7 linked regions of the Ovis aries genome follow. The main gene of each other region encodes a partner of the protein of the gene in region 7 in a complex. Links are inferred from orthologs where the notes say so. Each region holds a gene or a part of one and is shown on either strand. Other genes may lie near its edges.

Region 1 (4,058 bases), on a different chromosome or scaffold from region 7:
CCTTTTGAGTACACCTCTTTAAGTCCCAGGAACAGGGAAATACTTCCCTCACTAACATACAGTCTGATCTGATCCTAAGGAGTCAGAGGGTTTCTGGGCCACTTCCTTCCCACTACAGTTTAAGTCTATCCTTAGCTGGCGCCTCAACCAGAGACCCAACAGCCCCACCACACCTCCTCTGCATCTTTCCTCCCTACCCTAACCACTCCATCAGGAAGCCTTTCCCTTTGTCTTCCTGGGCACACGGACTCACCATGGCTTTCCGGTCTTCCTCAGCCATCTTGAGGCGCTTCTGAGCCTCTTCGTAAGCCTAGGAGAAGGCAAGAGTGGTCAAAGTCCCCGTGCCCACAGCCATTCCTGTCTAGAATCACAAGGATCACTCAGATGTTCCCTAGCACAAAGAAATGTACCCCCTTCACTGAGGAATCTCTGTGGTTACAGGTTCAGCAGAGAGCCACCTTAGCCCAAAGACCCAAAGAGATGACCAGACTACTGGAGGCGGCTCCTTGTCTTCCCAGAGATCACTATCTGCGGTCACACCCAACCTCAGATCGGATCCAGGGGTCTGCCTGGGGACTGATGGGAAGTGCTGCTCCAATGCACCTTCTTGTCTGACCGCTCCAGGACGTTGCGAGTCCGATCCTTGTCCCGCTGCCGAACCCGCTCAGCGAATGCATCGCGTTCCTCCAGGTCCTGAAGGCGCTCTCGCTCTGTCCGCTCCCACTCATCCTCCGACTCCGGCTTTTCCGTCTGCTCTTTCTTCTCCCTGCAGCCCACCCCGGAGGATTAACTGAGGGCACTCAGAGGCTTCCTGTTCCATCACCCTCTCGCCCCCTACTTCTGACTTACCCTGTCTTCCTCTTTCCTTTCTCAGAAACTTGTTCCTCCTCCTCGTCTTCCTCTTCCTCCTCACGTTTCTTCCTGAGGTGTTTCCGTTTTTTCCGCTTCTTCTGGACACTGCTCCCAGCCCTGCCCACAGTCTCCTCGCTGCTCTCCTCACTGTCCTCCAACAACATATAAGAGCGGTTCTTTTCCAGCAGGGCTCGGGCCTCTCGCTCGGCTGCCCGAGCTGGCTTTTCCACCACTGCCTTCCGTGGGACCTGTCGGGAGAGAGAGAAGTCAAGGGGATGTAAGCAACTCCTGATCTCTGCCCACCTACTCTGCCCAGTTCCTAATTTAAGGAGTAACTGATCTTAAACCAGCTGTCATTCTGTCTCTTCCCCAAGGCTTCACACCATGTCCATCAGCCCGAATGGGGTCTCTCAGTTCCTAAGCCTATCCCATGCACCCCCTGCTAGGTACTAGAGATATAGGGGTAAAGAGATAAAACTTTCTGCCCTCATGGACTTTACATTCTCACACTCAATTCTCAACTGCTCAGCCTCTGTTCTTCCCGATGACTAAGTCATTCCTACCCAAGGACTGGACAAGGATTGTCCAGATTGTTTTGCAGAGCCCTGTCACGGGCCAGCACTGTAGTGGCCTCCAGAGATACCCTGGTGAACGGATTAACACAGAGCTCCTACCCTCACATCAAGTACGTTCTCATCTTTCACCAAGTGCAAATGGGACAGCCACACCAAGTTATCTGCCATGAACAAGTTCAACACTTTTAGTCTTACTGTATAATTTCTGAGCTCTTGTTCTGCAGGTTACAATTAGATGGTATGAATACAAAGACAAAAATCACAGTCTTGCCTTCCAGGAGCTCACCATTACACCTTTACTCTTCCCCTTTCTTTACCCAACAAACTCCAGATAATCTTTGGGCCTGCTTTTCTCGATCACAGCCACACCACTTCTACCCTCCCACAACACTGCCCACACATCTCTTCTATAGACTCACTCTTCGAAGGGTGGGCAACACCCAGCATCACCCGAAAACTTACAAGATTTGTTAGAAATGAAGAAATGAAGAAACCATCCCAGACCTACCGAATCGGAATCCTCATTTTAACAAAAGCCGTGGATGAATCCTAAACCTGTTTGAGAAACACTGCTCTGTAGACCCTTAGTTCAGTTCAGTTCAGTTCAGTCGCTCAGTCGTGTCCGTCTCTTTGCGACCCCATGAATCGCAGCACGCCAGGCCTCCCTGTCCATCACCAACTCCCGGAGTTCACTCAGACTCACGTCCATTGAGTCCGTGATGCCATCCAGCCATCTCATCCTCTGTCGTCCCCTTCTTCTCCTGCCCCCACCCAAACCCTCCCAGCATCAGTCTTTTCCAATGAGTCAACCCTTAAGCCCTCCTCAACCTTCTCCACGGAAGTGGTCGTCCAGCCCGAAAGTGATAACTGCTTGCAAACTGAGCTTAATTCTCCGTTGGACAGTTAGCCCAAGTGAGCCCAAACTCCGTTGGACAAGTAACCTGGGGGCCCCTCCCCTGCTCCACCCACTTTCCCGCCGCTCCCACGCCCGGTCCCGCCTCTCCCAGCACCTTGTTCCAGAGTCTCAGGGCGAAGTCCCGGGCCGGCCCACTGAGGTCCAGGGTATCGGTGTCTCGCAAGCGCTGCACGAACTCCTCTGCCGAGGCACAGCGCTGCGCGGTACCGATCAAGAACTGGGCCACGTGCCGCTCGCTCAGTCCCAGCACCGAGTGCAGCTCGTCTTGCACCCAGCGCTCCAGCCCCGCCGGTGTCGCCATGGCGACAACACGCTCCCTATTCCCGGCCCTGAAAGTGTCTCCAGCTGCCACGTCGGCGGCCGGGCGGGTCGGGGGCCTAGAGCTCCAGGATGGAGCCTCTGCTCCGGAATGGAGCTGCCTGAGAACCGAGGGGTTCGGTTTCCGATAGTCCAAAACAATCTTCCTGGACCGCTGAGGCCGGAAGTGGCTGCTCTTTTCCGGCCTATGCACTACGGTGGCCGAGCGAGTTCAAATCTCGCGTAATTGTACGCGAAGCTCGGAATAAAACATTTTCATTTCTTCCCCTACTGAATTTCTGTTGCCCTCTGTTGATCATTCGTGAGTATTACACCCATTCATTTCATTCAACTATATTAAGAACCTAAAGTGCCTGGTGGCTCAGGTGGGTAATGGCACCCCACTCCAGTACTCTTGCCTGGGAAATCCCATGGATGGAGGAGCCTGGTAGGCTGCAGTCCATGGGGTCGCGAAGAGTCGGACACGACTGAGCGACTTCACTTTCACTTTTCGCTTTCATGCATTGGAGAAGGAAATGGCAACCCACTCCAGTGTTCTTGCCTGGAGAATCCCAGGGATGGGGGAGCCTGGTGGGCTGCCCTCTATGGGGTCACACAGTCAGACACGACTGAAGCGACTTAGCAGCAGCAGCAGCAAAATGCCCGGTGGCTCAGGTAGGAAAGAATCTGCCTACAATGCAGGAGACCTAGGTTCTATCCCTGGGTGGGGAAGACCCTCTTGGAGGAGTAAATGGTAGCTCACTCCAGTGTTCTTGCCTGGCGAATTCTATGGGCAGAGGAACCTGGCCTACTACAGTCCATGGGGTCACAAAGAGTCGGACATAACTGAGCGACCAACACTTTCAGTGTGGGCCAGGCACAGTTTTAGTACCCAGGGATATAGCAAGGAACAAATCAGAAACAAATCGCTTACTGAATTTACAGTGGCAGAGGGTTGGGGGTGGGGACCAGCCTGACAGAGACAAGATAAAAATATAAAATACTAAGTTATATGGAGCCAAAAATAATGCAAGGTGTGTGTGGGCGCTTGTGGGGTGGGGCATTCAAATTAGAAGATCAGGTCCATGCTTGTTACAGATCAACTAATTAGGAGTGACCTTTGCTAGGACCTTCTGCAAGACATGAATACAGGTTAGGCTTATCAAGGACTCCAGGCAGATGAAAACTCAAGATGTGGAGAACAAGCAAAGGTACCCTCTTTTCTTGGTGCTATCTCATAATGTTATTTTAAAAGATCTGCAAACTAAGAAATATGCAAATTGTATTCTGCTTTTTTTTTCTTTTGCTAACAGCTTGAGAAAGTCACTGGTGTCTGCTTAATTTTAAATAAGCAGAACTTGTTGCTTGACTGCTGTCTGGCCTCTGGTTCTGCTTCATACTTGTACAATTAATTGGAT
Region 2 (4,157 bases), on a different chromosome or scaffold from region 7:
GGGTGGTGTTGTAAGCCAGGCTGGGGCCATCACCCGAGGAGAGTGTGAAATAGAGGAAGCGGCGGGAGGAGACCTAGGAGGTCTGGGGAGGAGAGGACCCAGGAGAGGGAACCCAGAGAGCACCGTCTCTGAAGAAACCCGAAAACAGAGAGTGGTGTCCCAGACACCGAGGAAGGGCTTCAGAGGGAGAGCGGTGGTCCGGCACGCCCCAGGAAGCGAGGACAGAGAGCTGACCCCCGGATGGAGCCGCCCCCGGAGTTGAGGGATCCCGACAGGAGCAACGCGGGCAGACGCTGACTGAAGCGGGGTCAAGGGGAAGGCAGAAAACCACAGGGGATCGTCCTCATCTCGCCATTCAGACAGCTCAGCTCAGCCGCCTCTGACCCTGTGACCCCATGGATCGCAGCATGCCAGGCCTCCCTGTCTATCACCGACTCCCAGACACCCTGGAATGTGAAGTCAAGTGGGCCTTAGAAAGCATCATTACGAACAAAGCTAGTGGAGGTGATGGAAGTCCAGTGGAGCTGTTTCAAATCCTGAAAGATGATGCTGTGAAAGTGCTGCACTCAATATACCAGCAAATTGGGAAAACTCAGCAGTGGTCAGTTTTTATTCCAATTCCAAAGAAAGGCAATGACAAAGAATGCTTAAACTACCGCACAATTGCACTCATCTCACATGCTAGTAAAGTAATGCTCAAAATTCTCCAAGCCAGGCTTCAGCAATACATGAACCGTGAATTCCCTGATGTTCAAGCTGGTTTTAGAAAAGGCAGAGGAACCAGAGATTAAATTGCCAACATCCACTGGATCATGGAAAAAGCAACAGAGTTCCAGAAAAACATTTCTGCTTTATTGACTATGCCAAAGCCTTTGACTGTGTGGATCACAATAAACTGTGGAAAATTCTGAAAGACATGGGAATACCAGACCACCTGACCTGCCTCTTGAGAAATCTGTATGCAGGTCAAGAAGCAACAGTTAGAACTGGACATGGAACAACAGACTGGTTCCACATAGGAAAAGGAGTACATCAAGGTGGTATATTGTCACCCTGCTTATTTAACTTACATGCAGAGTACATCATGAGAAACGCTGGGCTGGAAGAAACACAAGCTGGAATCAACATTGCCGGGAGAGATATCAATAACCTCAGATATGCAGATGACACCACCCTTATGGCAGAAAGTGAAGAGGAACTAAAAAGCCTCTTGATGAAAGTCAAAGAGGAAAGTGAAAAAGTTGGCTTAAAGCTCAACATTCAGAAAACGAAGATCATGGCATCTGGTCCCATCAATTCATGGGAAATAGATGGGGAAACAGTGGAAACAGTGTCAGACTTTATTTTTGGGGGCTCCAAAATTACTGCAGATGGTGACTGCAGGCATGAAATTAAAAGACGCTTACTCCTTGGAAGAAAAGTTATGACCAACCTAGATAGTATATTCAAAAGCAGAGACATTACTTTGCTGACTAAGGTCCATCTAGTCAAGGCTATGGTTTTTCCTGTGGTCATGTATGGATGTGAGAGTTGGACTGTGAAGAAGGCTTAGCGCCGAAGAATTGATGCTTTTGAACTGTGGTGTTGGAGAAGACTCTTGAGGGTCCCTTGGACTGCAAGGATTTCCAACCAGTCCATCCTGAAGGAGATCAGTCCTGGGATTTCTTTGGAAGGAATGATGCTAAAGCTGAAGCTCCAGTACTTTGGCCACCTCATGTGAAGAGTTGACTCATTGGAAAAGACTCTGATGCTGGGAGGGATTGAGGGCAGGAGGAGAAGGGGACGACCGAGGATGAGATGGCTGGATGGCATCACTGACTTGGTGGACGTGAGTCTGAGTGAACTCCGGGAGATGGTGATGGACAGGGAGGCCTGGCGTGCTGCGATTCATGGGGTCGCAAAGAGTTGGACACGACTGAGCGACTGAACTGAACTGTCCACTGAGGGAGGTCCCATGCCCTCCAGCCATCTCATCCTCTGCCGTCCCCTTCTCCTCCCGCCTTCAATCTTTCAGGGTCTTTTCCAATGAGTCAGCCCTTCGCATCAGGTGGCCAAAGTATTGGAGCTTCAGCATCAGTCCTTCCAATGAACACCCAGGGCTGATCTCCTTGCAGTCCAGGGCACTCTCAAGAGTCTTCTCCAGCACCACAGTTCAGAAGCATTGATTCTTCGGCGCTCAGCCTTCTTTATACTCGAACTTTTACATCCACACATGTAAAAACCAAACCATCGGAAAAGACTCTTGGAAAGGACTCTTGAGAGTCCCCCGGACAGAAAGGAGATCCAACCAGTCCATCCTAAAGGAAAGCGGTCCTGAATATCGTCTGGCGGTTAAGAAAATCAAAGAAATTCGACGGTAGCTCGGGGGCCCAAGTGGGTTTAACTGGAAGATGCTGGAGCTCGGGAGCGGACTGGGGGACGAGGGACGACCACCGCGCCCGAGGAGACGCCCCCAGGGAAAAGCTGGCGAGCCTGAGGAGCCGAGGGGACTGGACCCCCGAGACCCGCGCCGGAGGGGGAGCCCGCGGAGGCTTCCGGCGAGGCGGCGTCGGCGGGCCGGAGAGCGCGGGGCCCCGGAAACCCGCGCGGAGCGGCGGAGGCTTCCGGGGAAGCGGCGTCTCGGGAGCTCGGGGGCGGGGCGCGGGGCGGACAGGCCCGCTCCCGGCGGTGGCGGCTCAACTCACATCTTGTCCTTCTGGTGCTGTCGCTTCCCCATGGCGACGGCAGGGTCAGCGAGCGCAGAAGACGGGGGAAAAGCACACCTCCGACCGCGGCGTCTCGGACGAACTCCGTAACTACTTCCGGGTCTCGCCGAACCGCCCCGGAAGCAAGCGCTGAGCACGCCGGGAACTGTGGTCCCTGGCTGCCCCCGCCCCCACCCCGAGTGCACGCCCGCCGGGCGCGGAGGCTCCCCGCGCCCGGGGGCTCCCCGCGCCCGGGGGCTCCCCGCGCCCGGGGGCTCCCCGCGCCCGGGGGCTCCCCGCGCCCGGGGGCTCCCCGCGCCCGGGGGCTCCCCGCGCCCGGGGGCTCCCCGCGCCCGGGGGCTGAGCAGTTTCGGCGTCGAAGCCTCCCCGTCTCTGCAGCTTTCTGTGCACCGCCTACCTAGCCTGCCTGCCTGGTCGCAGCTCAACGCCATCCCATCCCAAACCCGCCCTGGTCTGCCCTGGCTTCTCAGGTCTTCCGCTTGGAGCCCGGAAGTTCCCCCGGCCTTGGCCCCATCTCTGCCCCAGGCCGGCACCTCCAGATGGACACCCACATTCGCTATCCGCCCTCTCACCGCTCACCGGGACCGCACTGCCTGCAGCCCCCTCTCCTGGGCTACCCAGGGGCAGGTGGCCATCAAGCCCAAAGGTCCAAAGCCTTCGTGATCCCTTCGGCCTCTTCCCTCGGCCGGACCACCACGTTGGGGTGCCCCAGGCCAAGCCTCAGACCTCCCCCTACACTCAAGCACTGGGTGACCTTGCCCGGGCTCGCGGCTTTAAACGCCTGTATCGCTTGACTCCCAACGCTAAATGGCCAGCACTCAAGACTCCTGCCCTCTACTCGGGCAACCCAGTGAACTCGAATTCAGTATGTCTGCTAAAGCAGAATTCTCCTCCTCCCCCTCTAGGGTCCACTCTCCTCAGAGTACCACTATCCAGCCAGTCACCCCATACAGCTACAAGGGCTTGTTACCACTTGTAATCCTGTACTAATCCATCTGTGTACTGTCTAGCCACACATGCACGCACGCACGCACGCACACACACACACCCTCTCTCTCTCTTCAGGGAGACATGGCTTCCCCAAGAGCCAGGACCCCAACTGCTCGTCTGCTATCTCCAGTCACAAGCAAAGTGCCTGCGAGCTGCGTGCTGTCCCTTCAGTTGCGACTGACTCTCTTCCACCCTTCTGGACTGCAGCCCGCCAGGCTCCTGTCTGTGGGCTCTCCAGGCAAGAATACTGGAGTGGGTTGCCATGCCCTCCTCCAGGGCATCTTCCCAATCCAGGGATGAAACCGGTGTCCCTTGCGTCTCCTGCATGGACAGGCAGGTTCTTTGCCACCTGGGAAGCCCCAAGCAAGGTGCAGGGCATACCCAAGAGCTCAAGCAACATCTGCTCTACCGGCCAGCATCATCGGACACTTTGTGAGGACTCACATCTCACATGCAGGTCGA
Region 3 (3,500 bases), on a different chromosome or scaffold from region 7:
AATTTTAGAAAAAATAAAAATTTTAAGTTAAAAGTCAATGACTGGACTGAAACACACAGACAAAAATTCAGGTAGTCCCTCACAGCTCACTATAACAGGAACACAGAGCATTTCACCATTTTTAGAAATAATAAATAAATATCATTGGGAATATTTTTATGAAGGCAGCTCTTAGGTAAGTTGATCACATACATCATAGAAACCTAAGATAACTGGATACAAACCTTTCCAAAGATGGTGTGCTTATTGTTAAGTTCATCAGCTCGACCCAGGGTAAAGAAAAACTGGCTGCCATTATCATGAGGGCCAGCATTTGCCATGGCGACCAGTCCTCTACGATTAAAACGCAACCGTGAATGGAATTCATCCTGAAGCATTAAAAAAACAAAGATTTAGTGAATGTCCTCAGTTATAAGGCCCTTCATATATCAGCTAACAAACAAGGTCCCACACAACTTCTACTGATTTTCACATATAATCAAATCCAATATCTACAGTTCCTTCAATCTACTAATCTTGACTTTACTCACCTGTGTCTTCTAAATACACTCAAACACAAATTTTTTGTGGAAAGTTGCCTACTTACACTGAGCAAGGTTACTCAAGGGGAATGGATTTCTGAGACATTTCCCTATTCTTCTCATCCCTCAAAGCCATCTAAGCTTTCAGTTCAGTTCAGTTCAGTTCAGTCACTCAGTCGTGTCCAACTCTTTGCAACCCCATGAACCACAGCATACCAGGCCTCCCTGTCCATCACCACCTCCCAGAGTTCACCCAAACCCATGTCCATTGAGTCAGCAATGCCATTCAACCATCTCATCCTCTGTCGTCCCCTTCTCCTCCTACCCTCAATCTTTCCCAGCATCAGGGTCTTTTCAAATAAGTCAGCTCTTCGCATCAGGTGGCCAAAGTACTGGAGTTTCAGCTTCAACATCAGTCCTTCCAATGGATACCCAGGACTGATCTTTAGGATGGACTGGTTTGATCTCCTTGCAGTCCAAGGGACTCTCAAGAGTCTTCTCCAAAACCACAGTTCAAAAGCATCAATTCTTCTGCACTCACCAGTCCAACTCTCACATCCATACAGGACTACTGGAAAAACCACAGCCTTGACTAGACAGACCTTTGTTGGCAAAGTAATGCCTCTGCTTTTGAATATGCTATCTAGGTTGGTCATAACTTTCCTTCCAAGCTTTCAGAACCATCTATTTCTTTTTTCTCCAGGATAACTACTTTTGAGTCATTATAGAGGCTTCAATGGGCTTCCCTTGCGGCTCAGTTGGTCAAGAATCTGCCTCCAATGCAGAAGACCCCAGTTCAATTCCTGGGTTGGGAAGATCCGCTGGAGAAGGGAAAGGCTACCCATTCCATATTCTGGCCTGGAGAATTCCATGGACTGTATAGTCTATGGGTTCACAAAGAGTCAGAGAAGACTGAGTGACTTTCATTATCACTTTAAAAAATAAGCCACATTTTAAAATCTGAATTAATGGTTAGGGCTTCCCTTGTGGCTTAGCTGGTAAAATATCCGCCTGTAATGCAGCAGACCTGGGTTCAATCCTTAGGTTGTGAAGATCCTCTGGAGAAGGGAATGGCCACCCACTCCAGTATTCTGGCCTGGAGAATTCCATAGACTGTACAGTCCATGGGGTTGCAAAGAGTCGAACATGACTGTGCAACTTGCACTTCACTTCAGAAGCTTCAACTATTCTCTTCTCGATCCTTTTCTGAATGTCATGAAACAACTGTTTTCTTATTTGTTTAATTCAAGGAAGCTAGTGTGATGGTGTTAGGTGCTTTACTATGCTTTTTAAAGTTTTAAGTTTAAATTTCTTTGAACTGGCACTGGTTCCATTTGGTAGTTTTCAAAAAAAAGCAAGAGCAAGCCATTCTAAGGTGGTTTTCTTACTAGGGTAGGGCTACCTAACATTTACACCAGTCTCTTAGTCAACAGAAGAGCAGATACTAGACTCGCTTTTAATGTAGACATGTTTTATAATCAATGCTTTTCAGAAAGAAAGTTCTTTTCCTTTAATAAATTCTTCTCAAGAGATCTAAACTCAAAAGATCATAACTCTGTACACTGTATTCAAAATGACCTAACTGAAAAATTTAGCAAGCTTCCCTGGTGGCTCAGTGGTAAAGAATCCACTTGCCAATGAAGGAGACATAGGCTTGATCCCTGGTCCCAGGAAATTCCACATGCCATGTAGCAACTGAGCCGGTGGGCCACAACTACTGAGCCTGCACTCTGGAGCCTGGCCACTGCAACTCCTGAACCCATGCACTGAAAAGGAAGAGAGCCCCTGCTCACCGCAACTAGAGAAAAGCCCACACGGCAGCGAAGACCCAGCACAGCCCAAATTAAATAAAATTAATTTAAAACTTTACCAACTTATCTGTATTACCTGAATAAAATAAGCAAAAATCTCAATTTAGAAAGGAATCATCACAAGAGCTATTCTGTTAACCAAATAATAAAGGAATGCTTCCTAACAGATGGAGGCTCTAAAATTATAAGATATCTCAATTTTGTAAAATATAAAATAGTCTAACAGTGACATTTGAGATTTTCAAAACTATTTCATGTGCTCTAAAGGCCATTATCATGTGAAAATTAAAGCAAACAGTTCAAATATTTTTCTCAAGAGTCATATAGTAGCCCAGTATAAACTTAAAGGAAATTCCAGACACTCTATCCTTTTAGTATAAATGTGAATTTTTTAAAAATTCACATATTTTAAGAGCTACTGATGTTTACTAAGAGAACATAATATTGATACCATAAGATTGATAAACAACCCAGCTTTTAGCCTTTACTTGAACCCACCATTATCCTTAATATCGTAAATATAACATTAACTCTTTCTTTTTAGATCTGTGTTGGCAGTTAACAAAGCATTGACCTATTCTTGATTAAAACTTACATCTTTTTCTAACATATTTTATGTTGTTTCTTTCATTTCCCCGTGTTATGGCATGCATTTTGTGATTTCTTATTAAGGCATGCAGTTTGTGCTACAAAGGTCTACTGCGTACAGTTTAAAATGAATTCTGCCCTGGACTGAACTATGTTCTCCTGGAGTTCATGTTGACACTCTAACCTCCAATGTGACTATACTGAAGAGGAAAAGACACCAAAACGCTCTCTCTCCACCATGTGAAGACACAGTAAGAAGGCAGCCATTTGCAAGCCAGCAAGAGAACCTTCACAGGTGGTGAATGCTAGTACCTTGATCTCAGACTTCTTAGCCTCCAGAACTGTGAGAAATAAATTGCTACTGTTTAAACCACCCAGTCAGAAGTACTTTGTTATAGTGGCTCAAGTAAATTAATATAAATTCTATGTATTGTTAAAATAAAATGTTTTAAAATCAAATGGTATATGCAATGTTCTAGAAATGTTTTACATGTGCAAAGTTACAAAGATCAGATAATCAGATATCAGGAAAAATGTTATACAGTCTTTTCGCTGATTCACATTATGCTCATTACCACCT
Region 4 (3,500 bases), on a different chromosome or scaffold from region 7:
AAAGGCAGATGCTATTTAGGAAATCTGCTCCTTGCAAGTTCCCCTGGACTGAGTCAGACAGTCTTGCCTTCAGAGAGAAGAAAAGCGCTCTAGAGGTCCTGTGAGCTAGATTTCTCTGGCCTGGATCTCTGAGACCTGTACAGAGCTAGGAGATGAGTTCCTCTAAACCAAGACATGGCTCCTGAAAGTTCTTACCTTCTTTCCCAGAGGCTGGCTCCTTCGAGGTGGAGACAGATCAGAATCAGAAGATTTGGCCCTCTGCCTTCTCCTTGGTGGAGAGAGGTCAGAATCAGAGCTCCGATGCCTAGGTCTATTCCGCGGAGGTGACAGATCGGAATCGGAATCCTGGGGCCCTGAACTCTGTTTGTGCCGTGGAGGAGAAAGATCTGAATCAGAGGTTTTCCTACTGTCCCCTGGGTAGGAAGAAGAGTCCAATGTGTGACTCTGATGTTTCCTGGGTGGAGAGCTTGTATGATGTTTCTTATGGGTGGGGGAAGAGCCTAGAAATTGAAGAGTAAAGATTTTAATCCCCTTGGCAGAATCTAAAAAATAATGTACCAGGCTAATGTTCAACATTCATTTAGTCCTCTTGTGAGGAACTATCACTAACCTAAACGTAAGTATAAATGACAAGGGGGAAGAGCAAAGTCAGAGATAACTTTTAAAACCAATGGGTGGGGTTCTATTCCCAAGTTACTAGTTACTAGCACTAGTTACTGTGACTAGCACAAGACATCTCAACATCCTCATCTGTGCCCTATTTACCCACACATAGAGTGGCCAAAACAAACTGAACTCAGGGCTCAGTGGCGTTGTTAGTCGCTCAGTCGTATCCGACTCTTTGAAACCCCATGGACTGTGGTCCTCCAGGCTCCTCTTCCATGGAATCTTCCAGGCAAGAATACTGGAGTGGGTTGCCATTCCCTTTTCCAAGGGATCGTCCTGATCCAGGGATTGAACCCAAGTATTCCACATTGCAGGCAGATTCTTTTACTATCTGAGCCACCCAGGAAGCCCTAGCAAGTTAAGATGACCTAGAATATATTAGAATATATTCTGGGTTTCCCTGGTGGCGCAGATGGTAAAGAATCTGCCCGAATGCAGGAGACCCAGCTTTGATCCCTGGGTCACGAAGATCCCCTGGAGGAGGAAGTGACAACTCACTCCAGTATTCTACTGGAGAATTCATGGACAGAAGAGCCTGGTGGGCTACGGTCAGAAAGAGTCAAACACAAGTGAGTGACTAACACACACACACAGAATATATTCTGAGGTCTTCTGACTAAAACATAACAATGTATTTGAATTAAAAACTAAAGCAGTACCTAGGGACAAACGATGGAGCAAACAAGTTTCATCACACAGGTGAGCTGTAGACATAGGCATCACAAATCACCTCCTCCAAAGGCAATCTGCAATACCTATCAACAGTCCTATAAGCAAAGAACCCGGCTGAGCCAGCAAATCAATTTCTACTTTGTACCCTAGGAAACGTATCTAGCAGCACTTCAATTCCCAGAAAGTCTATCTAGAAATAGATACGGAAATCCAGAACAGAGCAACAGTTTGTGTATAAGGATGTTCATTACAGAATTACAGAGGAAAAGGTTTAGAAATAACCTAAAATATGCAATATTAGGGGAATGGTTACTGGAACACCAACAAAAACTATATTAACAAAGAGATATTTTATGACTCAGGAAAGATAATGCTAAGTGAAAAAAGCAAGCAAGATTACACATGCAATATTTACTTACTGCCTAGACACGTCCAAACTACATCAAAAATGATTAGAAAAGAAGACTAAAAGAACACTGGCTACAAGAGAGAGACTGCCTCTGACTGGACAGAATTGTGTGTGATCCTTTTCTACATTTCTATACATTCCAAAGTTTCTGCAACAAACATGTAGTATTTTCATGGGGTGGGGAAAATGAACAAAAAAATATATATATAAACTTCTACCCTACTACTATTAATTTTTAACTCTCTTCAGCCCAATCTCTCACTATTTCCCTCCAGTTTTTAAAACTCCAAAGCTCCATTCTCATTTCTAAAGACCACAAATACCTAGTAAAGCAACTAAAAGTTCCAAAAGAAAGCACTCTAGGAACAAGTCCCTCTCATGGACAAATGCTCACCTTTAGAATCATGTTGCTTACTTCCAACATGGGATGTTGCCTGCTTTTTTCGTGAAGGAGAGAGGTCTGAGTCATACTCATATTTGCTATTCTTTGGGAGTGATGGATGAGAAGGTCCTGGCCCCTTCCAATGTGGAGAAGTTTTGCTAGAGCTTTCTGGGGCTTCACTGCTTTTGGTTCTGAGCAGTGAGTGAGGAACATTAGCAGCCAAGTCAGTGGAATTATGATGGGCCCTCCTGAGCTGTGATCTATCCACAGAGTCAAGAGTCCTTCTAGGTTGAGCTGTGTCAGGGGAGCAATTACGGGCCCTTCTGGCAGGAGAGAGATCTGAGAAACTGTGGTAGGTCCTCCTAGGAGAAGATGAATCTGGGATGTCATGACGGGTCCTTCTAGGAGGAGATGGATCTGGGGTATCATGACGAACCTTCCTAGGAGGGGAAGAATCCGGAGTGTCATGACGAACCTTCCTAGGAGGAGATGAATCCGGGGTGTCATGACGGGCCTTCCTAGGAGGAGATGGATCCGGGGTGTCATGACGAACCTTCCTAGGAGGAGATGGATCCGGGGTGTCATGACGAACTCTTCTAGGAGGAGATGGATCTGGGGTGTCATGACGAACTCTTCTAGGAGGAGATGGATCTGGGGTGTCATGACGAACCTTCCTAGGAGGAGATGAGTCCGGGATGTCATGACAGAACTGTCTGTGTGAGGGTATATCTTCACTCTGGCCTAAACACAAATAGCAAAGAATCAGATTCCCACAAATGCTCTGCCACCCCTACAACCAAAGTTTCAAAAAACACCCCAGCAGGATACATCTCAAAACTACTAAGAAAGCCCAAAAGATACGCACAGCTACTTCAGGGCAATAAAGTAGCACTCATGAATATCCTAAGAAAAACCACTCACGTTTGCCTAACAGGTCATAATCTGCAAGGCACTTTAAATGTATTTTTCATGTTGTATCTTGTTAGGCAAGCAGGGCAGGTACCCTTGTTTTACAGACATGAAAACAGAGACCCTAAGAAGCTGAGTGGTCTCCTACCTAGGGGTCACTGCTACTAAAACGAAGAGACAGGCTAGAACCCTGAACTTCTAATCCCAATCCAGTGCTCTTCCCCAAACCTTACTTGTATGGAATTCTCCATGAGAAGCTCCCACTGATATCTAACTTAGGCAATTCAGTTTGCACCCACTCTTCTCTCAAAAGGCAAACTGAATAATTCCATGCCACATCAAAATGAAATCCTGTGAGCTATTTAATCCATGCCATTGTGCTCCTTATCAAAAGCAGCAAGAGCACCAGAAAGAAAGAAGGATCAGCACTTTACTGATCACCTGCTGCATGCCCATGTCTAT
Region 5 (3,500 bases), on a different chromosome or scaffold from region 7:
AGAAAGCAGTTAGTCAAAGGTTGATAGGACTTTTGTTTTATATATATGTGTCTGTAGAAGAATGCTTCAGGTTTTATTATATTTACCTTTTGCATTCTTTTTTTCTGGTCTGTATTTTGGGGATTCTCCTTACAGGAAGCCATGATACTACAATACGATTATGGGATTTGGTGGCTGGAAAAACAAGAGTCACATTAACAAATCACAAAAAATCAGTCAGAGCTGTGGTTTTACATCCAAGACAGTAAGTCTGTTTTCCTAAGTAGCTTCTCTTCTTCCTTCAATTCTTAGTATAATTTAGAAATAGCAAAATTAGTACTACTTTGGTAGTCATTTAGTCATTTTTCCGACCTGTTCCATTTATGAGCTTGCATTTCCTTTATTTTCCTTGTGAAGTATTTTTCTTGTCCTCCATAAGATGAGGAAAACTTTCTACATAGTGAAAAATTATGTCAAATGAGATAATATAAATAAATCATGGTGACAGGCTGCATGTTGTAATGGAAGCTAATAGTTGCTAGATTTAAAGTTTTGGACAAAAATATTATTGGACACTGGACTGAACATAGAATAGTTAATTTCATCATGAAGAAATTAATATACATAGGAAAAAAATAGTAGGTATCATGAACATCATTCACAGAGAGATGTAGCATAACATCACAACCTGCTGTCTATAAAACCGTGTCCCCTGGTACTCCCAAGGTCTCCTGCCTATCCTCCCTCCTCACCCTCCCTGCATTTATCTTGTCTCCTCCTTCCGATCCCTGTCTCGCTCACTCCCTTTCTTCCTCTCCCTGACTCCCTTTTCTCTTCCTCTTGCCTCTTTCTCTCCTTCTCTCACGTCTTCTCTCTCCCTTCTTCTGGCTTTCTCGTTTTCTCCAAAACACTTAAATCACCCCTTGCCCTTCATGTGAGTTTAGGGGGTTATATGTTTATTGCTTTAGCTCAGTGTAGAGCACTGGGGAAATGAGAGGAGAATATAACTTCAATCTAGGACTTATCATACATTTAAAGTAATTTAGAAATCTGATATAACTTGGAACAGATCTTTTTATCTTGATATTTTTATCTTGGTATGACGATAATATTTTGCCAAAACTACATAAATCCTGATGATACATGCAAAATATAGCCATAATAAGATTTTTTAAAAATCCACCATTGTATTTAACTTTGTTTGCTTTATTATTAATTCTTTTCTTATTTCAGTTACACATTTGCATCTGGTTCTCCAGATAACATAAAACAGTGGAAATTCCCAGATGGAAGTTTCATTCAAAATCTTTCTGGTCACAATGCTATTATTAACACATTGACAGTAAATTCTGATGGAGTGCTTGTATCTGGAGGTAAAGTATTTTTATGATAAATATGTTTTAGTCTATCTTTTTTTTTAAGTGAGTAAAATTTCTAAGTCATTACACTGACGTATTAGAATAGAACTTGCCTGTTTAACATGTGTATTCATGCAAATTCATAATACATATAGCATATTTCATAGGTCAATTCTCTTTAAGTTCCCGCATTGATAAATCTAAGTTAAGGATTTATGCCAGAAATCACCTAAAGTTTGGTTGTGTGTTTTGAAGTTAAATGTCATTTTGTGGTGCTTTTTGAGATCTATAATAAATTATGAATTAAGCACAAATGAAAGTAGACAAATTGATATTAAGAGGAGCTCAAGTGCCTGTGTGTCTTTATAACTCCATGGTGCTTGGCTGATGATGGGTTCTTAATAAGTGTTTGTCAGGCTGAACTGTTGAGGGGACACTTGGTCTAACCTGTCTTTCCCTTTAAGCTGACAATGGCACTATGCATCTCTGGGACTGGAGAACTGGCTACAATTTCCAGAGGGTTCATGCAGCAGTGCAGCCTGGGTCTTTGGACAGTGAGTCAGGAATATTTGCTTGTGCTTTTGATCAGTCTGAAAGTCGATTACTAACTGCTGAAGCTGATAAAACCATAAAAGTGTACAAAGAGGATGATACAGCGGTAAGTTCTGTATTTCATAGATATTTTAAAGTAGAAAAAATCAGCTTTGCCAATTTTCCAGGCATTTTCTCATTTTAAAACTATTGAAATTATCAGGAGGGGAAATAATCTTCATAATACTAAAATATTTGTCATGTTGAATAGTGTCTGCTCGTAGATTGTTGCATTGGTTTTATTGATGACAGCAAATCCGTAGATAATTTTGATTGTATCTCAACTTTGCTTATTAGAGTTATTAAGAAAATCTTATCCTAAGAATAACAGCAAAAAAATAGATTGCTATGCAAATTAACTCTAGAATCAGAATCTTAGGTATTACTAGAATATCTAAAAACCATTAGATTTAAAATGAAACACCATAAACTGAATTTGTAGCAAATGCATTCATCCTTTATTAAATATTAAATATTATTTATCTTAATATTTATTATATAATAAATAATCAGATAGTGCCAGAAGTTCGTCACCTATCTTAAAATTGTTAAAGAACTGCTAAATGTGTAATGCCAAGTAATATAATTTAGAATAAGTGCCTTATTTTTGTTAGAAAGGAACTTATTAAATATGAAGGAGATCAGTAATACTTTGTTTTAACTTACTTACTTTTCTGTTTTTAGACAGAAGAAACTCATCCAGTCAGCTGGAAGCCAGAAATTATTAAGAGAAAGAGATTTTGATGTGTTCGTTGTCATTGCAGTTTTTGTTTTTTTGTTTCGTTTTAGCTTGGCCTTGATGAGAATATCCAGTCATTTGTGCTCTGGCTAGGAATATAAAGCAAAAACTCATGCTTGAATCATTGCATTTTCATATTTTACAATGAACTGTCCTTCCCCATGTTTTTATTTCTAAAATTAACAGTTTGAGATCCTAGGAAGTAAGATGTAGATATCAAGCATATGTGAGTTTTTTGACTGTAACTATCCTAAACAGAATGATTTGCCACTTCTATTAAAACACACCCCATTTTTTTTAACTTACAAAACTGCTTACTATAGTAGGACATGTTTTGAGGGGAGTAATCTTTCTCTTAAACCCTTAAATACTGGTATCTGTGATTGATATTTTGGGATTAAAGGATTTTGAAGTCTTATGTATGTTTATCTCACCAACAGTTTTTGAGCGCATGTTCTGCAAAGTTCTGCACTAGGTACTGTTCAGAAAGTATACAGATAAGATGTGTCTGTCCTTTAAGACTTCCACTTTTAGCAGCTTACTACAGAAATACTGTCATAGAAGTGCCAGTGAAAAACCAGGATAACACAGAGGAAGAGCCCATTTATTTTCCTTGGGAAGGATTGTGGAAGACTTCATGGAGTCAGTGGTGTTTGAGGTGAGTCTTGAGAGGTCACAGAAAGAAAGGGTATTCTAAGGCAAAGTGTGAGCTGAAAAACCAGACATATGAGAGGTGTATGTTCCAGGAACAGAGAGCTGTCTGCTGCACTTGAATGAGAACAGCTGGTGGCGGCAGGGAAAGCTTGTGTTTTGAGTTTCAGTTTTATTCCACA
Region 6 (4,010 bases), on a different chromosome or scaffold from region 7:
TCACTGCAGGATGATAACTGCAGCCATGAAATTAAAAGATTCTTGCTCCTTGAAAGGAAAGCTATGACAAACCTAGACAATATATTAAAAAGCAGAGATATCACTTTGCCACAAATGTCTGTATGGTCAGAGCTATGGTTTTCTCCATAGTCATGCACAGATTTGAGAGCTGGACCATAAGGAAGGCTGATCACCATAGAATTTATACTTTCTAGTTGTGGTGCTGGACAAGCCTCTTGAGAGTCACTTGAACTGCATGGAGATCAAACCAGTCAGTCCTAAAGGAAATCAACCCTGAGTGTTCATTGGAAGGAATGAAGCTGAAGCTCCAATACTTTGGCCACTATATTCAGAGAGCCAAGTCAGTGGAAAAGACCTGATGCTGGGAAAGACTGAAGGCAAAAGGAAAAGGAGGTGGTAGAGGGTGAGATGGTTAGATGCAATCACTGACTCAACGGACATAAATTTCAGCAAATTACAGGAGATAGTGGAGGATAGAGAAGCCTGGTGTGCTACAGTCCATGAGGTCGCAAAGAGTGGGACCTGAATTCGCGACTCAATAACAACAAAAGTTAAGCGAACTGGCGCTACGAAAATTGACATTAAGACACAATGACAGAAAATTTTAAATATCTGTTTATCTGATATTATTTAAGATTGATATATTACATTGCTTATCTGACATTATAAGGCTGGGTTATTTGCTAGTACTCCGATGATTTATTTTCACTTTTTTCTGTTATCTGGCTTTAAAATTCCTTCAGTCACTTTCATTTATAAGCCATAGAATTATTTGGTCACAACTGTCCGGAAACCAAGGGGCAGTTGACCATTCGGGCCTACAAAGCCCAGAATGCACCCCAGCTCAGGGCGGCCGAGGAGGTCAGCAGCTTGCCGCTAGGTATGCCAGGAGGTAGTTTTCTACCCCACCCCCGCCCTCGAGCGTCCGCACGGTAGCCGGGTTCCTGTCCCCTTGCGGGATACCGCGATTTCACGGATCCACCCGTCCTCGCACGGTCATCCTAATCCCAGAGGCGATCTGAGGATGTGCCCCTGACGGCCCGGATGCAGCCAGCACTCCTCACCTCACCTGCAACTCCCGAGTCCCAGGCTCCGAAGAGGACGCGCAGCCCGGTTACCACAGAAACGACGTTGACTCCGTCACGGCGCGGGAAAGAGGTCAAAGGTCGCCCCAGCCAGTTCCGCTTCCGGTTCCGGGATCCCGCTTGTTGTCGGAAAGTTGCGCGGTGTGGGCGAGCCCTCGGGGAAGGTTCTGTGGTCCCGGGCTCGCCCGCGGTCGCCGCTGCAGCCATGGCGGCTTCCACCGCTGCCGGGAAGCAAAGGATCCCCAAAGTGGCCAAGGTGAGCGGCTCGGGGCCTTGTGGGAGGAGGCCGGGGATGGGGTTGGCCCGGCCTTGGTGGTGCCTGGGGCGGGAGGCGTGTGGTCCCTGGGGCGGGAGGCGTGTGGTCCCGGGAGCTGGTCCTCCCTACCTGAGCGGGGGCCGCGGGCGGGGAGGGCCAGCCGGGGATGGGGGTCACCTCCGCGTCCGCGTGGTCGTCGTGTTAAAAAGTGTTTATCTGGGGGAGGAGAGAGGTTCTTCAGCACAGACACGCTGAAACAGACACTCGCTAGTCGCTGGGGCTCCGGGTAGAGCGGGCTACGAGCTACCCTGCGTAAGGGTAGAACTGCAGCCTTGCAAAGGCTCCTGAGCCCCAGAGGAATAGGCCGTGGCTTCCTGGGCTCGTGTGAGGGGTCTCCAGCGCAAGAAGTGATGATTAAGCTGTGCTGAAGGCTGTAATAGGAGTCAACCCCGGGTGAGAGTGGAAGGAGTGAAAAGAGATGACAAGGGCTGTATTTTGGTTGATCTCACTTTTTCCGTCGGCGGTTAATACTAAAGTTCAGTTCAGTTCAGTTCAGTCACTCAGTTGTGTCCGACTCTTTGCGACCCCATGAATCGCAGCACGCCAGGCCTCCCTGTCCATCACCAACTCCCGGAGTTCACTCAGACTCACGTCCATCGAGTCCGTGATGCCATCCAGACATCTCATCCTCTGTCGTCCCCTTCTCCTCCTGCCCCCAATCCCTCCCAGCATCAGAGTCTTTTCCAATAAGTCAACTCTTCGCATGAGGTGGCCAAAGTACTGCAGTTTCAGCTTGAGCATCATTCCTTCCAAAGAAATCCCAGGGCTGATCTCCTTCAGAATGGACTGGCTGGATCTTCTTGCAGTCCAAGGGACTCTCAGGAATCTTCTCCAACACCACAGTTCAAAAGCATCAATTCTTCACAGTCCAACTCTCACATCCATACATGACCACAGGAAAAACCATAGCCTTGACTAATGGACCTTAGTCGGCAAAGAATGTCTCTGCTTTTGAATATGCTATCTAGATTGGTCATAACTTTTCTTCCAAGGAGTAAGCGTCTTTTAATTTCATGGCTGCAGTCACCATCTGCAGTGATTTTGGAGCCCCCCAAAATAAAGTCTGACACTGTTTCCACTGTTTCCCATCTATTTCCCATGAAGTGATGGGACCAGATGCCATGAACTTCGTTTTCTGAATGTTGAGCTTTAGGCCAACTTTTTCCTTTCCACTTTCACTTTCATCAAGAGGCTTTTTAGTTCCTCTTCACTTTCTGCCATAAGGTTGGTGTCATCTGCATATCTGAGGTTATTGATATTTCTCCCAGCAATCTTGATTCCAGCTTGTGTTTCTTCCAGCCCAGCATTTCTCATGATGTACTCTGCATATACGTTAAATAAGCAGGGTAACAATATACAGCCTTGACGTACTCCTTTTCCTATTTGGAACCAGTCTGTTGTTCCATGTCCAGTTCTAACTGCTGCTTCCTGACCTGCATACAGATTTCTCAAGAGGCAGGTCAGGTGGTCTGTATTCCCATCTCTTTCAGGATTTTCCACAGTTTATTGTGATCCACACAGTCAAAGGCTTTGGCATAGTCAATAAAGCAGAAATAGATGTTTTTCTGGAACTCTCTTGCTTTTTTGATGATCCAGCGGATGTTGGCAATTTGATCTCTGGTTCCTCTGCCTTTTCTAAAAACAGCTTGAACATCAGAAAGTTCACAGTTCATGTATTGCTGAAGCCTGGCTTGGAGAATTTTGAGCATTACTTTGCTAGCGTGTGAGATGAGTGCAATTGTGCGGTAGTTTGAGCAGTCTTTGGCATTGTCTTTCTTTGGGACTGGAATGAAAACTGACCTTTTCCAGTCCTGTGGCCACTGCTGAGTTTTCCAAATTTGCTGGCATATTGAGTGCAGCACTTTCACAGCATCATTTTTCAGGATTTGAAACAGCTCAACTGGAATTCCATCACCTCCACTAGCTTTGTGCGTAGCGATGCTTTCTAAGGCCCACTTTGACTTCACATTCCAGAATTTCTGGCTCTAGGTGAGTGATCACATCATCGTGATTATCTGGGTCATGAAGATCTTTTTTGTACAGTTCTTCTGTGTATTGTTGCCACCTCTTCTTAATATCTTCTGCTTCTGTTAGGTCCATACCATTTCTGTCCTTTATCGAGCCCATCTTTGCATGAAATGTTCCCTTGGTATCTCTAATTTTCTTGAAGAGATCTCTAGTCTTTCCCATTCTGTTCTTTTCCTCTATTTCTTTGCATTGATCGCTGAAGAAGGCTTTCTTATCTCTTCTTGCTATTCTCTGGAACTCTGCATTCAGATGCTTATATCTTTCCTTTTCTCCTTTGCTTTTCGCCTCTCTTTCTTTTCACAGCTATTTGTAAGGCCTCCCCAGACAGCCATTTTGTTTTTTTGCATTTCTTTTCCATGGGGATGGTCTTGATCCCTGTCTCCTGTCACGAACTTCATTCCATAGTTCATCAGGCACTCTATGTATCAGATCTAGTCCTTTAAATCTATTTCTCACTTCCACTGTATAATCATAAGAGATTTGATTTAGGTCATACCTGAATGGTCTAGCGGTTTTCCCTACTTTCTTCAATTTGAGTCCAAATTTGGCAATAAGGAGTT
Region 7 (3,449 bases):
ATGTAACCTTATCTATTTTGGCTGTGCGGGTCTCGGCTGCCGCACAGGCTCTTCTCCAGCCGTGGTGCATGGGCCGCCGACTGCGTGGCTCCGAGCACTGTGCCGACCAGGCTCCGGGCGCGCAGGCTTCAGCAGCTGCGGCGCGTGGGCTGTCGTTGCCGCTCTTTGGCTCCACATCACAGGCTCAGTAGCTGTGGGCTCTAGAACTCGGGCTTAACTGCTCCGTGGCACGTGAGATCTTCCTGGACCAGAGACCAAACCCGTATCTTCTGCATTGGCAGGCGGATTCTTTACCCCTGAGCCACCAGCGAAGCCCTATACTCAAGTTCTTACATAAATCAGAGTGTGCCCAAAAGCCAAACTTTAAAATGGTTTTTAAAAATGGTTTAAGATTATTCTTGAATCTGGACACTGCCTAAAATGGATTTTATATGCTCTTAAGGTGAGCAAGTACAAATGGCTCATTTAGTAAATGCGGTTTAATGTCAGCAAATCTAAAATTTCAGAGGCAATATTTTATTTCAAAAGTAATAAATAATATGGTCACATAGTAACTGGTGAGAGTTACAAGGATAGCAACCCTTAAAATTCTTATTAAAAAAACCTAAAATTATTTCACAGTTGGTCTTGCATATATTTCTCATGATTGCATGTTTTTCAATAACCTATTAATCTACATTAAAACTTAAATACATAGTAACTTACCAAGTGATAGAACTTCAAGGCTGAGAAAAAGCACTAATCACAAAGAATTTCAATTAACAGTTAACCTAACAGTCCAGAAAGAAATGTTGTCAATGAGAGAAGTCCTAATTATTAAATAAGATAGCTGTGTATTTGTTTAAAGACTAACATACACCTAGCTTCACTGAAACACTTCTGAAAAAAAATTATACATACATATTTTGTTAAAAACATAAAATAAAACTTAAAATAATTCCTCTACTTAAAAAAAAGCAAGACTCCTAAGAAAAGTTTATAATATCTCATTAACAAAGCAAAAACCTTAAAAAGGTTCATCTATTTTGGTCTTCAGTTACAAATAAAAAGTCACTAACAATTCATTATAATAATCCTATAAACAATCAGAAACATTATCAGAAAAAAACTGTTGATAAAAAAATCATCAATTCAATGAACATTTTGATTGTTTTATTAATAAAATATAGGCAAGAATTATAACCCTCTCTGGTGAAACTTCTCAAATAATTTTTTGTAGAAGGCCTTGAGATGTATCAGTTATAAAACATATTAAAAAGAAAACATTTTTAATGTACAAATACAAACCAGTACTTTATACAATAATTCTCTACAAAGTTTGTCAATCGATGTAAAAAATAATTTGTTTCAACTGAATATAAGGCATGTTCAGTTTCTATGATTTTGCAGAATTATTTTTTTTGCTTTGTTGGAGACTTTTCTCTTCGCCGGTCCTGATTTTTCTTCGATTCTCCGGATTGTTCAGAGTATCGGCTAGATTTTTCCCATTGCCTCTCAGCACCGTTCTGATACCTATCTTCATCGCTTCTCGAACCTGAATGTTTTTTATTTTTTTCTCTTGACTTGGATCTGTCCTTCCTTCTAAAATTCTCACTGTCCCTATTTCGATGTCTGTGCTCACTTTCAGAGAAAGAATTTCCCCTCTCCCGTTTCTTTCTGGGATCTCCATGAGTATGTTCCAAACCCATGCGTGCTTCTTGGTCTCTGTCACGCACGGCTCTGCTGTGGCTGTTTCTCTCAGGAGGAATCCCTCTGTCTGAAGTGTATTTTGTTCCAGAGCCTCTTGAATCTCTCTCTCTGGGTTTCTCTGACCTCCTTTCTCTCTCAGTCCTTGTCTCCTGGTGCCGATGCTCTGGCCTTCTTTCTTCTTGTTTTCTATCATTCATTTCTTGTTTCCTGATCAATTTATCTACTTCTTTACTTCTGTGGTTCCCATGCCCCTTCTTTCTTACATTTTTAGCTGCATGTGTAAAATGAAATATAGTTAGTCAGCTTATATTTTAATCTTAATTTCACAACTGAAAAAAAATCTTATTTATTTATACATTATAGGTTTGTTTACTAATTCAGAAAAACTGGATAAAGAGTCAAATTGACTGAATGCAAAATCTGGTGACAGAACAGTATACAAAAAATGTAATTTTTAAGAATATACAATATATTAGTTACTGAAGTAACTGCTTTGATCCTTAAAATAAATAAATGTTTAAAATAAGGTATATAGCAAATGTAAAAGTTTTAACAAAGTGATTAAAGTGGTACATTTCCACTTACAAATTTTATCCAAAACATAAATTTCAGCCCATATCTATTATGTCATATGAAACAGAATGCCAGAGATGATACATAATTAAAATATAATGATCCTACATGCCAGCAACATTACTTCCTAAAAGGTGGGTTGAATGGGATGACTGGGTTTGTGTAAAAACAGGAATACATATTTTTCAAATACAAACCTCTGTCTACAAAAATAAGAGTCCTGCTACCAGAGAAGTAGTAACTATGCAAAGAGAAACTATGTTGAAATCTAATCATAGGCTTTATGAGAGCTGCAAAGGCTTGATTGCTAAGAAAACTCTTCTAAGGCCTCGAAACTTTTCTTTTATCAGTTTGTCCACAAATATAAATATCACTTAGAATGAACTATCTTACCCATTTTAAGCTATAAAACACACTTAGCCACTTTGTGTTATCTGCTTCGGGCACATAACCAAAAGCACTGAGATGACCACAATTTCCGTCAAAGTCGGAAAGCGGCCTATCTTCGTCCTGCCTCCACTCAAATGTACCAGCATCTATTTCTCCTGCCAAATCCCTACCCATGGCAAACCCACGGGTCCTGGGTGCCACAAAGGACCCGTTTCTCTGGTTCCTATCAAGCAGTCCAGCTGAACTACAGCCACCCAAGCAGAAACCATCTGGCTCTGTGCAGAATCAACGCCTCTCTGACCCTTCTGTATCCCACACTTGGTGCTTCCTGACACCAAAACCTGAGCCTGACAATAATATGCACTTTCCTCTCTCTTTGGTGTTTGCTTTACAATTTTCTAATTTGGTATAAGTTCATACTGCTTTTATGCTATTTAATATGTTATTAATAAAACTGAAAGCTCTCTACTGAAATTGTATGATGAGGCAAATTAATTTTGAATCAGCAAGCTTCCTTACTGCAGCAGTTCATGCTGTGTTATCATCTGTTCTCAAAACAGATACCATGAAATAAATTCTTTAGAGGTGAATGGTAAATGAACAATGTTAGTATATTTCAACTTAAGAATAAAACTTCCTGTGAGTAAATGGAGTCTTGCTCTAACAATATAAATCACTGAGTCCCCTAATTCTGGATGCCACATAGTATGTAAAACACTCTGAAGAGAAACAAGTGTGTAAAGACTAGCCTCACCAACCTACTAAAAAGGCTGTGAAGAGAAGTGCTGCCTCTCTGA

What was found.
Region 1: CWC22 (region 7) and DHX16 share a complex: the UniProt entries of both Homo sapiens proteins name them as parts of the minor spliceosome. The link is inferred for Ovis aries from reciprocal best matches to the Homo sapiens genes CWC22 and DHX16.
Region 2: CWC22 (region 7) and PPIL2 share a complex: the UniProt entries of both Homo sapiens proteins name them as parts of the minor spliceosome. The link is inferred for Ovis aries from reciprocal best matches to the Homo sapiens genes CWC22 and PPIL2.
Region 3: the proteins of CWC22 (region 7) and CWC27 are in contact, whole or in part, in a crystal structure (PDB 6YVH), measured with the Homo sapiens proteins. The link is inferred for Ovis aries from reciprocal best matches to the Homo sapiens genes CWC22 and CWC27. Residues at the interface, in NP_001362958.1 of Homo sapiens: Leu239, Arg242, Lys243, Tyr245, Arg246, Asn248, Asp249, Lys250, His270, Glu271, Val272, Leu275, Glu276, Thr279, Leu280, Leu281, Glu283, Arg284, Thr286, Asp288, Ser289, Val292, Val307, Ser308, Pro309, Arg310, Gly311, Thr367, Met369, Leu372; in NP_005860.2 of Homo sapiens: Arg381, Glu382, Asp383, Gln384, Thr385, Leu386, Leu388, Leu389, Phe392, Lys393, Lys395, Leu396, Thr397, Ile400, Glu412, Asp415, Asp416, Glu417, Gly418, Trp419, Met420, Ser421, His422, Val423, Leu424, Gln425, Phe426.
Region 4: CWC22 (region 7) and BUD13 share a complex: the UniProt entries of both Homo sapiens proteins name them as parts of the minor spliceosome. The link is inferred for Ovis aries from reciprocal best matches to the Homo sapiens genes CWC22 and BUD13.
Region 5: CWC22 (region 7) and PLRG1 share a complex: the UniProt entries of both Homo sapiens proteins name them as parts of the minor spliceosome. The link is inferred for Ovis aries from reciprocal best matches to the Homo sapiens genes CWC22 and PLRG1.
Region 6: CWC22 (region 7) and CRNKL1 share a complex: the UniProt entries of both Homo sapiens proteins name them as parts of the minor spliceosome. The link is inferred for Ovis aries from reciprocal best matches to the Homo sapiens genes CWC22 and CRNKL1.

What each region holds. Positions count from the first base shown.
Region 1 is NC_056073.1:27,451,663-27,455,720, reverse strand, and holds the start of DHX16 (pre-mRNA-splicing factor ATP-dependent RNA helicase DHX16), read right to left. Parts: upstream 2,801-4,058; 5' UTR 2,645-2,800; coding exon 2,438-2,644; intron 1,101-2,437; coding exon 850-1,100; intron 767-849; coding exon 604-766; intron 311-603; coding exon 254-310; intron 1-253. UniProt on the Homo sapiens protein: Required for pre-mRNA splicing as a component of the spliceosome. Contributes to pre-mRNA splicing after spliceosome formation and prior to the first transesterification reaction.
Region 2 is NC_056070.1:72,136,005-72,140,161, forward strand, and holds the start of PPIL2 (RING-type E3 ubiquitin-protein ligase PPIL2), read right to left. Parts: upstream 2,801-4,157; 5' UTR 2,717-2,800; coding exon 2,685-2,716; intron 1-2,684. UniProt on the Homo sapiens protein: Has a ubiquitin-protein ligase activity acting as an E3 ubiquitin protein ligase or as an ubiquitin-ubiquitin ligase promoting elongation of ubiquitin chains on substrates.
Region 3 is NC_056069.1:14,808,222-14,811,721, forward strand, and holds part of CWC27 (spliceosome-associated protein CWC27 homolog), read right to left. Parts: intron 369-3,500; coding exon 225-368; intron 1-224. UniProt on the Homo sapiens protein: As part of the spliceosome, plays a role in pre-mRNA splicing. Probable inactive PPIase with no peptidyl-prolyl cis-trans isomerase activity. As a component of the minor spliceosome, involved in the splicing of U12-type introns in pre-mRNAs.
Region 4 is NC_056068.1:27,154,194-27,157,693, forward strand, and holds part of BUD13 (BUD13 homolog), read right to left. Parts: intron 2,871-3,500; coding exon 2,142-2,870; intron 501-2,141; coding exon 196-500; intron 1-195. UniProt on the Homo sapiens protein: Involved in pre-mRNA splicing as component of the activated spliceosome. As a component of the minor spliceosome, involved in the splicing of U12-type introns in pre-mRNAs.
Region 5 is NC_056070.1:3,083,558-3,087,057, forward strand, and holds part of PLRG1 (pleiotropic regulator 1), read left to right. Parts: intron 1-135; coding exon 136-244; intron 245-1,212; coding exon 1,213-1,352; intron 1,353-1,801; coding exon 1,802-2,073; 3' UTR 2,074-2,612; coding exon of another isoform or gene 2,613-2,672; 3' UTR 2,673-3,500. UniProt on the Homo sapiens protein: Involved in pre-mRNA splicing as component of the spliceosome. Component of the PRP19-CDC5L complex that forms an integral part of the spliceosome and is required for activating pre-mRNA splicing.
Region 6 is NC_056066.1:39,182,176-39,186,185, reverse strand, and holds the start of CRNKL1 (crooked neck-like protein 1), read left to right. Parts: upstream 1-1,210; 5' UTR 1,211-1,311; coding exon 1,312-1,362; intron 1,363-4,010. UniProt on the Homo sapiens protein: Involved in pre-mRNA splicing process. As a component of the minor spliceosome, involved in the splicing of U12-type introns in pre-mRNAs.
Region 7 is NC_056055.1:130,122,429-130,125,877, reverse strand, and holds the end of CWC22 (pre-mRNA-splicing factor CWC22 homolog), read right to left. Parts: intron 1,961-3,449; coding exon 1,392-1,960; 3' UTR 501-1,391; downstream 1-500. UniProt on the Homo sapiens protein: Required for pre-mRNA splicing as component of the spliceosome. As a component of the minor spliceosome, involved in the splicing of U12-type introns in pre-mRNAs. Promotes exon-junction complex (EJC) assembly.